Linked DNA regions of Saccharomyces cerevisiae S288C. The gene in region 2 interacts genetically with the main gene of each other region. Each region holds a gene or a part of one and is shown on either strand. Other genes may lie near its edges.

Region 1 (5,741 bases), on a different chromosome or scaffold from region 2:
AAATTCGACCTTTTGTGGAGAAGAGCTGTTAAAATGATGTTGGACGGACCCACCTAAACCATTGTTCATATTTTGGTTGTTGCTATTGATACTGTTGATACTGTTGTTAATGTTACTGCTGTTGCTGTTGTTGTATTGACGGTTTTGAGAGTATGGACGGCGGTTGCTGTTGCCGTTATTATTATTTCTTCTGTTGTAGTTACCTCTATTGTTGTTTGAATCCCTATTGTTGTAGTATCTTTTATGCCCAGGGCCGTTACTATTAGAGTTATTGTTGGAGTTAATTTGCTGCTTGACCTTGTCAATTATATTATCTTGCAATTTGATAAACTTGATAAAAGTCCCTCTAATATAAATTTCGTTCAATTTTACGGCTTTACTGCTCTCAGCATTGTCTTCTGAATTAATTGCGCTTTCTTCACTATATTCGGTTACATTAGATAAAGTAAGGTTCATCCAGTTATCTACGTTGGTCAATATCCCTTGTATAATTTCACCGTTTTTCAATTCTATTTGCATTTGTTGTCCCTTCGCATTTGTTAAAAGATATAAAGGTAGCATTGAGAAAAAATATTCTATTGTGTTTCTTTTCAGTTCGAGTTGAAGATTTATCAGTTTTTCAACTCTGTTTTACTAATACTACTTCGTTAATTTACTTTTACGATTTCCTTCTTTACCGCTTCCATCATTAGGAAGGTCTATGATACTACGATTTCACGAAAGAAAGCTGCAATAATTGAACATCATTGCTACTCCGTAAAACATGATAGTAAGAGTGCTTATCACGTGACACGTGTGCGGCAAATTTCGTAATTGATGATCAAAATGCGTGTGGGCGGCTACAATGCGGAATTTGCCTTTTTCATAGTACAGGAAACTGGCGGTAAAGGAAAAGTAGTACTTTAAACTCATTTAAAATTACTTATCACTATGAATATCTTTAAATTATTGTTATACATAATAAACTATCTATTAAAAAAAAGATGCTACCCAATTCACGTTGTCCATGGTTATTTTAGAGCCTAAAAATAAAAGGCAGTAGGTTTAGAGGGACTTCAGTACAAGTAGATAACGAACGAAGCAATTACTCTGTGTACGGTGGCGGAAAAAATGAAATGTTACTTAAGAAGGAGGTAATATAAGTACATTACATTTCAACCGCATTGTGACTGCGTACTTTAAACGATAGGTGACTGCGGATCTTAGGTCGTTTAGCAGCATACGAAAATTAGTTTTACTAAACTAGACATCTAGTAAAAGGCTGTCGAAATCTCTCAATTTAAAGAGAACCTGCTACTGACTATAAATTTTGTCACTACAAATTATTGGTTTAATCTAGCCTTCATTATGGATACAATTACCTTCGGCGGCTAAAAACAACTTGATTTTGTTACCCGCGTTTGAAGTGACGCGTCACTAACCATGACGCGAAAGTTAATTATATTCAGCTCCCCGCCTGCTTATTTCCCGTTTAGGAAATAAATGGTTAACCTAACAAAAAAAAAAGAGGAACAAGGACTAAGAAGCACGTCAACGTGAAAAACGCACAAAAGATATTATAGTTATTGCCATCCTTTAGCATTGGTTTAGCATATCAACTAATTGACTAATATTTGCTGCTAAATTCAACTGGAAGCTTTTTTTTTTTTCGAGATAATAAAAAAAGAAACTCTTTAGTGTATTGTGTTATTTTTACTATTAATTGTTGTTACAGCAGAATCACATCTAGCATTGGTCGTCGCTTTTTCAAACGATTCTTCCTCCACTTACCCTTTGAAAAAAAGGTACATTATTTCACGTTATTTGATATATTGTCAACAATAATTGCTCTTTGCCGAAAATTAACTCTTCTTTCTTTCTCATTTCCCTTCTGTCCCTCTTGCGTAGTTCTAAAAGGTTGATTTATTCGAGAAATCATGCCATTTGATGTTTTGATATCAAACCAAAAAGATAATACCAATCACCAGAACATCACGCCAATATCAAAATCAGTTCTTTTGGCGCCTCATTCAAACCATCCAGTGATTGAAATAGCTACGTATTCAGAAACCGATGTATACGAATGCTATATACGTGGGTTTGAAACTAAAATAGTGATGAGAAGAACTAAAGATGATTGGATTAATATTACCCAGGTTTTCAAAATAGCTCAATTTTCGAAGACGAAAAGAACTAAAATACTGGAAAAGGAATCAAATGATATGCAACATGAAAAAGTTCAAGGTGGGTATGGTAGGTTTCAAGGTACTTGGATCCCACTGGATTCAGCGAAGTTTTTAGTCAATAAGTACGAAATAATTGACCCTGTGGTCAACTCCATCTTAACTTTTCAATTCGATCCAAATAACCCTCCACCAAAGAGAAGCAAAAATAGTATATTGAGGAAGACTTCGCCGGGAACGAAGATAACTTCTCCATCGAGCTACAATAAAACACCAAGAAAAAAGAACAGTAGTTCATCAACATCGGCTACAACTACAGCTGCGAATAAGAAAGGCAAGAAAAATGCATCGATCAACCAGCCGAATCCAAGTCCTTTACAAAACCTTGTTTTCCAAACTCCTCAACAGTTCCAAGTAAATTCATCAATGAATATAATGAACAATAATGATAACCACACCACGATGAATTTCAACAATGACACAAGACACAATTTAATAAATAATATTAGTAACAACAGCAATCAATCTACTATTATTCAACAACAAAAATCCATTCATGAAAACTCTTTCAATAATAATTATTCGGCAACTCAGAAACCTCTTCAATTTTTTCCAATTCCGACAAATTTACAAAACAAGAACGTTGCTCTGAATAACCCTAATAATAATGACAGTAATAGTTACAGCCATAACATCGACAATGTCATTAACAGCAGTAATAACAATAATAATGGCAATAATAATAACTTGATCATAGTTCCAGACGGACCTATGCAAAGCCAACAACAACAACAACATCATCATGAATATTTGACGAATAACTTCAATCATTCCATGATGGACTCCATTACAAATGGCAATAGTAAAAAAAGGAGGAAAAAGCTGAATCAATCTAATGAACAACAATTTTACAACCAGCAAGAAAAAATACAAAGGCATTTCAAATTAATGAAGCAACCCTTATTATGGCAATCCTTTCAAAATCCAAATGATCACCATAATGAGTACTGTGACAGTAACGGCAGCAACAATAACAACAACACTGTAGCATCCAATGGCTCCTCCATTGAAGTATTTTCATCAAATGAAAATGATAACAGTATGAATATGTCTTCACGATCTATGACACCGTTCAGCGCAGGAAATACTTCATCTCAAAACAAGTTGGAAAACAAAATGACAGATCAAGAATACAAGCAGACGATATTAACAATACTATCATCGGAAAGGTCTTCTGATGTAGATCAAGCGTTGTTGGCTACTTTATATCCGGCGCCCAAAAATTTTAACATAAATTTTGAAATTGATGATCAAGGTCACACTCCACTCCATTGGGCTACAGCTATGGCGAATATTCCTTTGATAAAAATGCTAATTACCTTAAATGCTAATGCATTACAGTGTAATAAGCTCGGTTTTAATTGCATCACAAAATCAATTTTCTACAACAATTGCTACAAGGAGAATGCTTTCGATGAAATAATATCCATCTTAAAAATATGTCTTATAACTCCCGACGTAAATGGAAGATTGCCATTTCATTATTTAATTGAATTGAGCGTTAATAAGTCCAAAAATCCAATGATAATAAAATCTTATATGGATTCGATAATATTGAGCTTGGGTCAGCAGGACTACAATTTGTTGAAGATATGTTTGAACTACCAAGATAATATAGGGAACACTCCACTGCATTTATCTGCTTTAAACTTGAACTTCGAGGTTTACAACAGACTGGTATATCTTGGTGCGTCAACAGATATATTGAATCTAGATAACGAATCGCCTGCGTCAATAATGAATAAGTTTAATACTCCGGCTGGCGGGTCAAACAGCAGAAACAACAACACCAAGGCAGATCGAAAGTTAGCTCGAAACCTTCCTCAAAAGAATTATTACCAACAACAGCAACAGCAACAGCAACCACAAAACAATGTCAAAATTCCAAAAATTATAAAAACTCAACATCCTGATAAAGAAGATTCTACTGCAGATGTCAATATAGCTAAAACAGATTCTGAAGTCAACGAAAGTCAATACCTGCATTCCAACCAGCCAAATTCTACAAATATGAACACTATTATGGAAGACTTGTCGAATATTAATTCTTTCGTGACGTCGTCTGTCATTAAAGATATAAAGTCTACGCCGTCCAAAATTCTTGAAAACTCTCCCATTTTATACAGAAGAAGATCACAGTCAATATCAGATGAAAAAGAAAAGGCAAAGGATAATGAGAATCAAGTTGAAAAGAAAAAGGATCCCTTGAATAGTGTGAAAACTGCCATGCCATCATTGGAATCGCCTTCTTCCCTTCTGCCGATACAGATGTCTCCACTAGGAAAGTACTCAAAACCGCTTTCGCAGCAGATCAACAAATTAAATACAAAAGTTTCTTCTCTACAAAGAATAATGGGTGAAGAAATTAAAAATCTGGACAACGAAGTAGTAGAAACCGAATCCTCTATTTCTAACAATAAGAAGAGATTGATTACAATAGCACATCAAATAGAGGATGCTTTCGATTCCGTATCAAACAAAACTCCCATAAATTCGATATCAGATTTACAATCAAGGATTAAAGAAACATCGTCAAAGTTGAATTCTGAAAAGCAAAATTTTATTCAAAGCTTGGAAAAATCTCAAGCTTTAAAACTGGCTACAATTGTCCAGGATGAGGAATCAAAGGTTGATATGAATACTAACTCAAGTTCACATCCAGAAAAACAGGAAGATGAAGAGCCAATTCCAAAGTCAACGTCGGAAACTTCTTCTCCTAAAAACACCAAAGCGGACGCCAAATTTTCTAATACTGTACAAGAATCATATGATGTAAATGAGACGTTGAGACTAGCAACGGAACTAACTATTCTACAGTTTAAAAGAAGGATGACAACATTGAAAATAAGCGAAGCTAAAAGCAAAATTAATTCATCGGTGAAGTTAGATAAATACAGAAACTTGATTGGTATCACAATTGAGAACATTGACTCAAAATTGGACGATATAGAAAAGGATTTGAGGGCAAACGCATAAATTTTAATTCACAATGTACCAATAATTTTTACTATATTATCAGAGTTTTTAAATTTTTTTTTTTTTTTTTTGGTAGCAATTTTTTACATATTTGTATAGTCACTTTTCTCATTGCGCTTGAGTTGCTTCAAGTGCATGTCAACAAACATTTGAACTACTAAACTTAGACTATTATGGTTAGCCCTTTGCTAATTATCAGGATGTCTTTTATTACGATTGTGCTTTGTTTTCGTACAATATGATGAATGGAAAGCGCGATGAGATGAGGTCGAAAAAAAAAAAAAAAAAAAAAAAAATAGAAACATCCACTTATCCATAGATCCTTCATTTTATTTGTTGTCAGGTTTGGTATTGATTTTATTAGTCAACAAAAAAGAATAGGCAAGACCCCGCAAGGATCCTTCTTCTCGTTTCTGTATATTACCAAAATCCTGCCTTAGCAGCATAAAAACTGAGGGACGAAAAACACTTTTTTAGTATCAAGTAGTATAATGGATCAACAATTTCTAAGTCAACTTGAGCAAACTTTGCACGCTATCACTT
Region 2 (5,951 bases):
TTAACCTTATTTATATCAGAGTTAGATGGCTTTTCGTAATGTATGTTAAAAACATCGTTTAGTTTTAGCCAATTCGGAAGCCTTTCTTTTGGCCTACTATTAAGTTTCTTTTTAAGAGCTGTCTTGGGAACTTTTTTTTTAGCTTTTTCAACAGATAATTGCGTGGCTAGCGTTGTTCTTTTAGTGTTAGCAACAATGTTTTGTATAAAAGCCGCCGGTGTATGCACGTACCTCTTACACAGTTGTTCCATTGCCAATGGTTTCCTATTTCGCTAAAATATTAGGGAATATGTGAAGAAAAAATCTTCAGAAATACCTTGTTCAGACCCACATTAAAACGCTTGATTATATGCATATTTACCGGCTGCCGACTTTCATTAAAAAAATTGCGAATACAGAATTTTTTTTTTCACAATAATTACAATTTTTAGCACGATTCAGATGTCTATTTGCTTTCTCTAATTTCATCTACACATCTACGTATATATGGCACCTTATTATCAGTTGTCATCAAAGAGATTACCCACAGCACCGTCTTCAATGTTCGGATCATCCAGCATGTCTCCGTTTTCTTTATTCTTCTTAATTAATCTCTCATTTGCCTTCTTGAGGATAGCTTCCCTTTTCTCTTGTCTTTTTCTCTCATCGCCTGCATGGTCCACATTACCATCTTCTTTCCCACTGGTGGATTTAACCCAATCTATAAAATCAATCATGAGTGCCCTTTGTGTTTTGTATTCGTCCACGCTCCTTAAATTTCTGTATAACTCATCAATATTATAACCATTAGATATCTCAAAAAGGAACGCTCTAGCAGAGGGATATTCTTTGCACAGAGTCAAAAAAATCACAGTGAAAGCATATAGTGCCTCATGGAAAGAATCCTTAAACGCACTATTACACAGCACATTTAGCAACAGATTTTTCATCACTTCAAATGTGAAATATTCATCCACCGTGTTGTTTTGATTAAGGACTGAGGTTAAGCAGCATTTCATTACTAGGATGGAGTTAAATGAACATTTTGTATCCTTGAAGGAAATTAAATGGTTCAAAAGTTTCAAAAATGGAGCAAGGGTGTTTAAATCATTAAATATAATTTTTCTCATCTCCATTTGATGGTTATTTAGCCTGCTTTTAGCACTGTTTGGATTGGCATTGCCTTGACCAACACAATCAATTACTATTCTAACAACAACTGTGGTTAGTTGTCTCAACAAATTCTCTTCCAAAATTTCTTCAGTCATTTGATCATCGTCAGTTGGAACTGGGTTCATGTCCATATCATTCATATGCGAGGACCATTTCTGACATAGCAGCAGGTCCAGGATTTCAAATAATTTAGGCAAAAATGCGGGCATGAATTTCCCCAGACAATCTTTTGGACAACCTTTTAATATAGGACGAATGGCTATATTCATTATGTGTTTCCATCCATGTGTTGAAACTCCAGGGCTTATCTCATTGCTACCTGGCTTAAATATGGCAATAGAGTTCAGTAGTAGGTCGGGCGATTCGTCCAAAAGGTAAAAAACACTACCAAGTGATGATATGGCACTTAAAACAAGTAGAGTGTATTCCCTTGTATACCTAATGATGTGTCCTACGGAGTCGGCGAAGTCTCGTAAGGTTTGCATCGCTTTCATATGTTCATCAATAAACTCATCCTTTGATTTATTTGAAGCTCCGGCCTCCCAAAATCTTTCAATAGTGGAATACTTGACGAAGGATTGCACAACCGTAGGTAATCCTTTCCAATTATCTGGATCGTGGTAGGATTGCAATTGGTACAGTAGTCTCGTGATGTAAGGTAATATTGGGACAATCCTAGGTCTCCACAGATCTTGTAGCATTTTGAATTCTTCATCTGTCTTTATACTTTGCATTGAATAATGAATGAACATTCTTGTTGCACGAACAGGAAACAAGCTTTGCCAACGTTTGGTCAATTCCGACTTCAGCTCTTTACCCTCATCATCAATTGGAATTGATAAAAGGTCACTATTTTCGTCGATATCACGCCTCTGGAAATATTCTGCGATCTGAACAATACCTAAGCGTTCCATAAACCAATGCAAATCAGAAAGACCAACAACTGTTGTTTTATCAGACCAGGCTAAAAGTTCTGGATCCACAATAGCCGCAAATCTTTCCTCTTTCATATCTAATGAAGACTTCAATACAATGATCAATAAGAAGGATTTGAAGGAAATTTTTTCATGGTAAGATAAGTTGGGCATGATTCTGGCAATGACACTTTCAAGGTCTGGGTATATTTTTTTCAGAGATTCGGGCATTAATAAAGCCATCCTATTCAACTCGATACCACAAGCATATCTCAAATCTCTAACTGCGTCTGATTCAGCGCCTCTCTCTTCCAAATTAATTTCTGGATAGTCCATCGTGGCGCTTGTTATGATTTTTTCTAAAAGTGTGAAAAGCACATTATCTTTTAACATTGTCAAAAAAAGTGCAAAATTTTGGATTTGTTTCTTCAATAACAATGGTTCTCTTAAATTTAATGCAATTAACTGGTTTGACAAAATTTCCAGTTTTTGTAATATGGAATCTAGTTTTTCGTCATAATCATCTCCTGTTGGATACCAGATCTTCCATCTTATACAACCATTGATGAAACATTCAACAATCATGTATTGGGAGAGGGCACCTAAATAAGGCTCTAATTTATGGTCCAAAAATGTGGAACTTAAGACCTGCTGACCAAATGGAGAGCTGAAATAATTGTTTAATCTGTTGTTCAACCAATCATAAGTAAGGTCTAATTCGACGCAAGAAATCAACCTAATGATGTCTCTTATTCTTTTCCTATAAGTGGAACAAAATGTTTGAAATTCGGACTTGGATTGAAAATCAATCTCCGCAAATTTTTTGGAAATATGACCATCAATCTGTTCATAATAGACTAAAGCATCCGCGGCAAACTGTAGTAGATCAGGAATGACATATTTCTCCAGCTTGGGTAAGTATTCATCGTTTCGAAGACAGGTACACCATAGGTCTAATGTTAATCCGCTAACGATTAAGCTTGGGTTATAAGTTGTCTTTAATACAAGCTTAAAATATTTTTGAATTTGGCCATTTGTCTCCTTAATCTTTGGGACACAAACATAGAGACAACTGATCATATCCACGAACTTTTTAATTATAGGATATTTCGTTTCATCTATATCATCTGTAGGATCAAACAACAAGCTTTCATAAACGCTATCTAATAAGTCCATATTATCAAAAACTCGATCTATGGTCATTTGGTAATGGCTTTCATTACTATAGGGACGGGTCAACAGAATATGTATCGAGTCTAATGCCATTGACTGCGCCCTTGGGATATTGCTGGATAAACAAGTCAATAAGGAGGATAACACGTCATTTCTTACAATGACCTCTGTTAATGGCCAGTTTAAACACGTCTTCAGAGTTTCTAAAAGCCTTATGATGTATTCAGAATTATTCTGTTGTAATGCATTATTCAACTCTGGAATCCAAACAGAAAACCAGCCCTCTTCATTAGCTTTAAATTTGGTCCATTTATCACTGAATTTGTATTTTATTGCGAAAACTTCAATAGGGCAAACAATCATTACACATAAGGGTTGAATAACCGTCATCCTTTTCAAAACAATTAGGTCGTCCAACAAGAAAACATCTTCAAAAAGGATTCTGAAAATTATTAATGCTAGTTCTCTTGACGATTGATTTATGTTCCAAAGTTCGAAAAGGTTATTGTCCATGTCCACCCAAGATGTGAGTAACTGTTCTTCCGTAGGGTTTGTCTGCTTAAGAGCCTCACCCCATGTTCTTTTTGCCACCTCTACCCATAAAGTGGCTAATTTTTCCTTAATATATCTGGTATCATAATCTTGCACCCCAAAATTAAGTTCCATGACCCATTTTCTCAGGGCCACTCTTTTCCCCTCGTCATAATCATTCCAGTTTTTCTTCACTGCATGGTCTAGTAATCCTAGTCCAAAGTATTTCAATATAGAATTAGTGGGGTTTTGCAATGCAATTTCGTAGCCCCAAAAGGGCGATTCTGAGCATAATTTCACTTCATCTAAAAATTTCTGAGCTTCTTGCCGTTGAGAATTGTTAGACTTGGGGGAGTAAATAACATCTAGTGCGCTAACAATCTGAGAAGCGCCTGTGGAATCCATTACTTTTCTTCCAATCAACGTTAGAAAAAAAATTTCAGATTCTAAAAATTCAAAAAGTGATTAAAAGGAAGAAAACAAAATATACTATAAATAATTTCAATAGTTTATCACAGTAACAATTGCTACACGAATGTAAAGAGTGAATATGGTTTTTAATGGCTAATGCAATGACACCTTACGTTCTCGCCTTGTTTATTTTTCTGTTTTGCTCTTCTTCCGATCTACAAAACTTGAACGGTTGCAACAAATAGGGGGATCTAATCAGGGTGTACTTAAAAGAACGGCTCTTCTACAGGCTCAACGAATAAAGATAGGCTAAAAACACACACGCTCGTCACTCCAGCACCTCTGTTCAATGGAATCTTGCTCTTAAAACTCTTTGACAAATATTACTACATCAAAAGCTTAGTACTCTTGAAGTCTCTTTGGAAAAACCAACCTTGATCGCGCAGCAATGTGGCAATGCCCCTCCGCTGTGGCGCGCCGCCATCACCCGGTAAATAGAAATTGGTGACCAAGGAACAATGCCATGGTGAGTACATTACCATAAAAACCAAGAGGCGATAGTGTTGTCGGAAATAATAATACAATTTGTTGATTCATTATGGCTATATATCATTAAAATATTCACAATAGGTATATAGTCCGATTTGGACAACTAAGGCAGCGGTGAAGAGTAGAACCTGGTCCTTCAATAATAATAACCGTTGGCAATAAACCTGATCATGTACTCGTCAACATGGGCAGTGCCCTCATACTCATCAAGTTCAGCATGATTTTCTTCCTCTTCATTAGCTGCTTTTTTTTCTGTGCTTTCGTCGAAATCGTCATTGTCAATTTCGACTTCTCTCATGGCTAAGTTTGCAGCTTTAACATCATCCTCATCTTCCGCTTGCGCAAGAAGTCTTTCCAGTTGTCTGGGATCTTTGGCTGCCACATCTGCATCTGCTATTAGTGGTTTATCTCCACCTGAAGCATTTTCGGGCAATTCGGATCCCAATAAATCTCTCACCGAAAGTTTGCTGAAATAATCTGTTGTGAAGTCACCCTCTTGAATAACAACATTATCCAATTGTCTTTTTTGGTTGGCTTTTTTTAAGATATTGCTTTCTATGGTATGTTCGCTGACAAATCTGTAAATATGCACATCTCGAGTCTGTCCAATTCTGTGACATCTATCTTGACACTGTTTGTCCATGGCTGGATTCCAATCTGAATCGTAAAAAATAACTGTATCTGCCCCAGTCAGATTGATACCTAGCCCTCCTGATCTACTTGATAGGATAAATACCGTTATTCTTGAGTCAGTGTTGAATCTCTCTGTTAGGATTTGACGGTCTTCGATCTTTGTGGCACCATCTAGTCTCATATACAAATAACCATGATAGTTTAAAAACTGTTCCAGAACGTCCAAAACTTTTGTCATTTGTGTGAAGATAAGTGCCCTATGTCCATTGTCCTTCAGCTGCTGTAATAAAATTGCTAACTTCTGCAATTTACCACAATCGTATTGAAGCAGCGATTTGTCCGGGAATGCGATTGTTAATTTGGTTTGCAGTTGGTGTAATGGGTTGGATACTTCAAAACAGTTCTGCATTACCTTTAGCCTTGTGTTTTCGCCTACCGAACTGTCATCATTTAATCCCAATGCCAACTTTCTCATATCTAGTGAGACGGCACTTGGGGTTAACACTGCAAAGGTATCTATGATCTTTCTATTATCCAATACCCTGGTTTGCAAGGGTTTTATTAGTTCATTATCAATAATGCTTGATT
Region 3 (3,279 bases), on a different chromosome or scaffold from region 2:
TGGTCAAAAAATGGTTAATTGATATCGTAAAATTGAGTATACAAAGCAAAATAATGCTGGAGTCACCGAAGAAACCGTCCACACCAATAATGGACCAATACAAATTTATTAGATCCTTAGATATTTCTATACGGAGTATCCATCGGACGTGCCAGGATAAACTAATCTTTGAAGATTTACAGGTCAACCTTGGAAGTGTATTAAAGATGATTAATGAAGAAGAACACGAGTTAAAAACACACTTACCATTGAACCTCATATAAGAGAGAACACAGAAAAAGCAGGTTAATAATATTCATATGGCGACTCTAAATCAAGAAAAAAATAATCGTTTGTGTTACACCCGAAATATTGAAATTTCTAATCGTATACACAAATTTAAGTATGCAAAACTAAATAGTAATATTGCCCACACAAAACATTCATCAGTTTCCACCAGCAGAAATGCCTTTTTATATATGTAAATGCGAAAAAAAATCACTGACACACACACAAATGCACATTTTTATCTTATGTTACACACAGTTATACGCACATACGCATTCAATCTCTATGTTTCTTTTTCTTATCCTTTTTATCCTTCTTCTCCCTCTTCTCCCTCTTCTCCTTCTTCTTTTTCTTCTTTTCACTAGACTCCTCTTCATCGTCGTGATGTGAACGCTTCTTTGGTTCTTTCTTATTTTCTTTAACTTCCTCAGCCACATGGAAATCTTCGGCATCATAACCAGTAGCAAAATGCTCCAACTTCAAGCCTTCTACTTTTGGAACATCTTTACGTGGAACTCTTACCTTACTGTAATCAATAGCTGGGATTTTAGCGGTTTCGCTGACAGAAAATACCTTGTCAAACTGTAATGGTGCATTATCCTTGGCAGTGCTAGCAATTTTAAGACTTTCCTTACTTTCCGAAGGAACCAATAAAGTCATATTACTGAGGTTATCCTGTGTTAACGAGGACTCAATATCTGTATCGTCCATGATTTTATAATCGTGTTTATCAATTGTCATGGTTGTAGAGGATTCAAAATCTACAGGCAGAGATTTTAACTTGGAGATGTCCACATTTGATGGGAATTTGATCAGCCAAACCTGTTGCTGTTTCGCTTTTTTTTTGTTATCACCGTTGAGAGGGAAATTCTTTAAATGTTTACATTTCTTGAAACCATCTGGTATGCTGAACTCGTTTGATATCACTTCATCATCAGAGTCTGAATCTGATACGTAATCTTTCGAAAGCTTGGACATATCAATTTTTTGTTAATCCCGTTTATTGAATCCTAGCTGCTCACTGCTCACTCGATCACAGACCTATATGATACCGAATACCCTATAACTTGAGCTATTCAATGCTCATCGATAAAATTTTTCATTTCTTTAATTTCATGTTTGAGAAAAAAAGTTTCGCAACACCCAATAACCACACGCTGCCCTAAGAAAAAACTTTCTCAGGCTGAAAAGAAAATTTTTTTTCATTTTCTAGAGCTTTATGGGCAGAAACAAAATGTATAAATACTGGACAACCTTCTGTAAGGTTATAATAATCTCGACATTCGGTTAATAAGAATTCCCCTACATAAGAACAAACAGCAGTGACTGTAATGTAGTAAGAATGAGAGTAATCCTCCTCTTTCGACTTCAGCATTGCACTCCTTCCCATTTGATACATTCAAGTTTGAATAATCTCAAGAGAAATTTCATGACACTTTTTTAAACAGAAAAGAAGAATTGATTGGCCCTGATGATAATGGTGTCTCTTCTTTCCTCGTCCGATTCGACCATGACGACAAGGGATTTTATCTCGTTCTCTTAATGCGAATGATTTTGAAAAGATGTTGCTTCTGTGACATTTTTTTTTAATCATTTGTGTTTGCAAACGGGAACTTTTCTTGCCAGTGTTATACAACACATGCAGATCTGAGCCTTTATTTTTTCTCATGAGATTATCAAATGTGGGTAATTTGAGGAGACAGATAATATATATAATTTATGATCACGGTGATGAAAGACTGGTTCCTTAACATTCGCAGTTTCCACGGTAGGAGTACGCTTACGAACCCATCGTTAGTACTCTCGGTGACCGCTCTTCTTTAGAGACCTTCCTAGGATGTCTGAGTGATCGTATACTGTAGTATCTTGTGTTTACTTTATCAAACCAGCTTACCAACATTGGAATAGTTGGTTGATTTTTTTCTAGCATCCGAATGGATCTTGTATTTCCTTAATATGAAGTAGACCAGTAATCTGAATCCTGCTAGCTTAAAAAATGCGTTGAATATATATTATTAAATATATATATTTGAAGGGGAGTTGATTACATAACAGTGGCTATTCTTGCAATGGTATCAGAATTATTATTGTTGTTGTTGCTGTCGTTCTCCAGATTCTTGTTCGATTCCTTTGACCATCCATACAGATTACTCTTATAATCATAATGATAAAAGACGGGTTCAAAAATACGTTCATTATTCTCCTCCATAACTATTGTGGGAATGTCATTCAACATCAAGAATCTCAAATGAGGAAAACTTTTCAAAAAAGTAACGTAAATCGACTTGAAGTGATGGATAAGAGCGTGATAACACATAATAATATCTCTTTTGGTCAATGATTCATGAGGAAGTTCCAGGTCAGTGGAAATTGTAGCTGCTGTGTCATCACTACTTGGAGGAATGGCCGCATTAATTTCATCATCATCATCATCGTCATCGATTATTATCATTTCGGGCTCGCTCATATGAGCGGTTGATGTGGAAGTCACGGTGGAGTGTTGATGTGGGTTATTAACGATTTTGGGCACCAACTGGGATTTAGAATTTCTATATTCCAAAAGGTTGCGGTTCATCTTGGTCACAAAATTAGTCAAATTCATTGGTTGTGTTCTAACGCTCGGATAAGCATCACAAGCTTTAGAGTATGGTAACAAAGATAGGTATTTCATCATTTTAAAAATATCCTTTGCAGCAATGTCTTGAAGATCGTGAATATAGTAGTCTTCAGGGAACATGAATATTTTGCCCTTCAGAATGTCACTGAATACTATTTGACAGTTTGTGCAGTTGCATTGCTGATTTAGTTGGAACTTATTTTCTTGAATATTGATGATTTGTGGGATAAGACCGTCGTATCTCAGATCTATGAATTGCAATTTGGAGCAAGCTAAAAGAATGGAGAGAAATATGTGAGGATTTGTGGGTTCAGGTACATACTCCTCTAAGAAATCCATTTTTAGTCTTTTCAAATTGGTTAACGAACTAAAAAGATCTACGAGGATATGAACAT

Evidence for each region. Genes that interact genetically often act in the same process or in processes that back each other up.
Region 1: mutations in MSN5 (region 2) and SWI4 are lethal when combined (synthetic lethality), as found in Saccharomyces cerevisiae (6 studies listed by BioGRID, with this or other methods).
Region 3: mutations in MSN5 (region 2) and RPA34 together harm fitness more than expected from each alone (negative genetic interaction), as found in Saccharomyces cerevisiae (3 studies listed by BioGRID).

What each region holds. Positions count from the first base shown.
Region 1 is NC_001137.3:382,052-387,792, reverse strand, and holds SWI4 (SBF complex DNA-binding subunit SWI4), read left to right. Parts: upstream 1-1,916; coding exon 1,917-5,198; downstream 5,199-5,741. Other genes in the region: U6 snRNA complex subunit LSM4, read right to left, coding at 1-561; karyopherin KAP123, read left to right, coding at 5,690-5,741. UniProt on the Saccharomyces cerevisiae protein: Part of a complex involved in cell-cycle-dependent transcription. SWI4 and SWI6 are required for formation of the cell-cycle box factor-DNA complex. The repeated element in the upstream region of HO (5'-CACGAAAA-3') is called the cell cycle box (CCB).
Region 2 is NC_001136.10:1,139,392-1,145,342, reverse strand, and holds MSN5 (karyopherin MSN5), read right to left. Parts: upstream 4,176-5,951; coding exon 501-4,175; downstream 1-500. Other genes in the region: translation initiation/elongation factor MRX8, read right to left, coding at 1-251; chromatin-remodeling protein SWR1, read right to left, coding at 4,867-5,951.
Region 3 is NC_001142.9:138,403-141,681, reverse strand, and holds RPA34 (DNA-directed RNA polymerase I subunit RPA34), read right to left. Parts: upstream 1,246-3,279; coding exon 544-1,245; downstream 1-543. Other genes in the region: SMT1 (Smt1p), read left to right, coding at 1-263; SCF ubiquitin ligase complex subunit DAS1, read right to left, coding at 2,312-3,279. UniProt on the Saccharomyces cerevisiae protein: DNA-dependent RNA polymerases catalyze the transcription of DNA into RNA using the four ribonucleoside triphosphates as substrates. Component of RNA polymerase I (Pol I) which synthesizes ribosomal RNA precursors.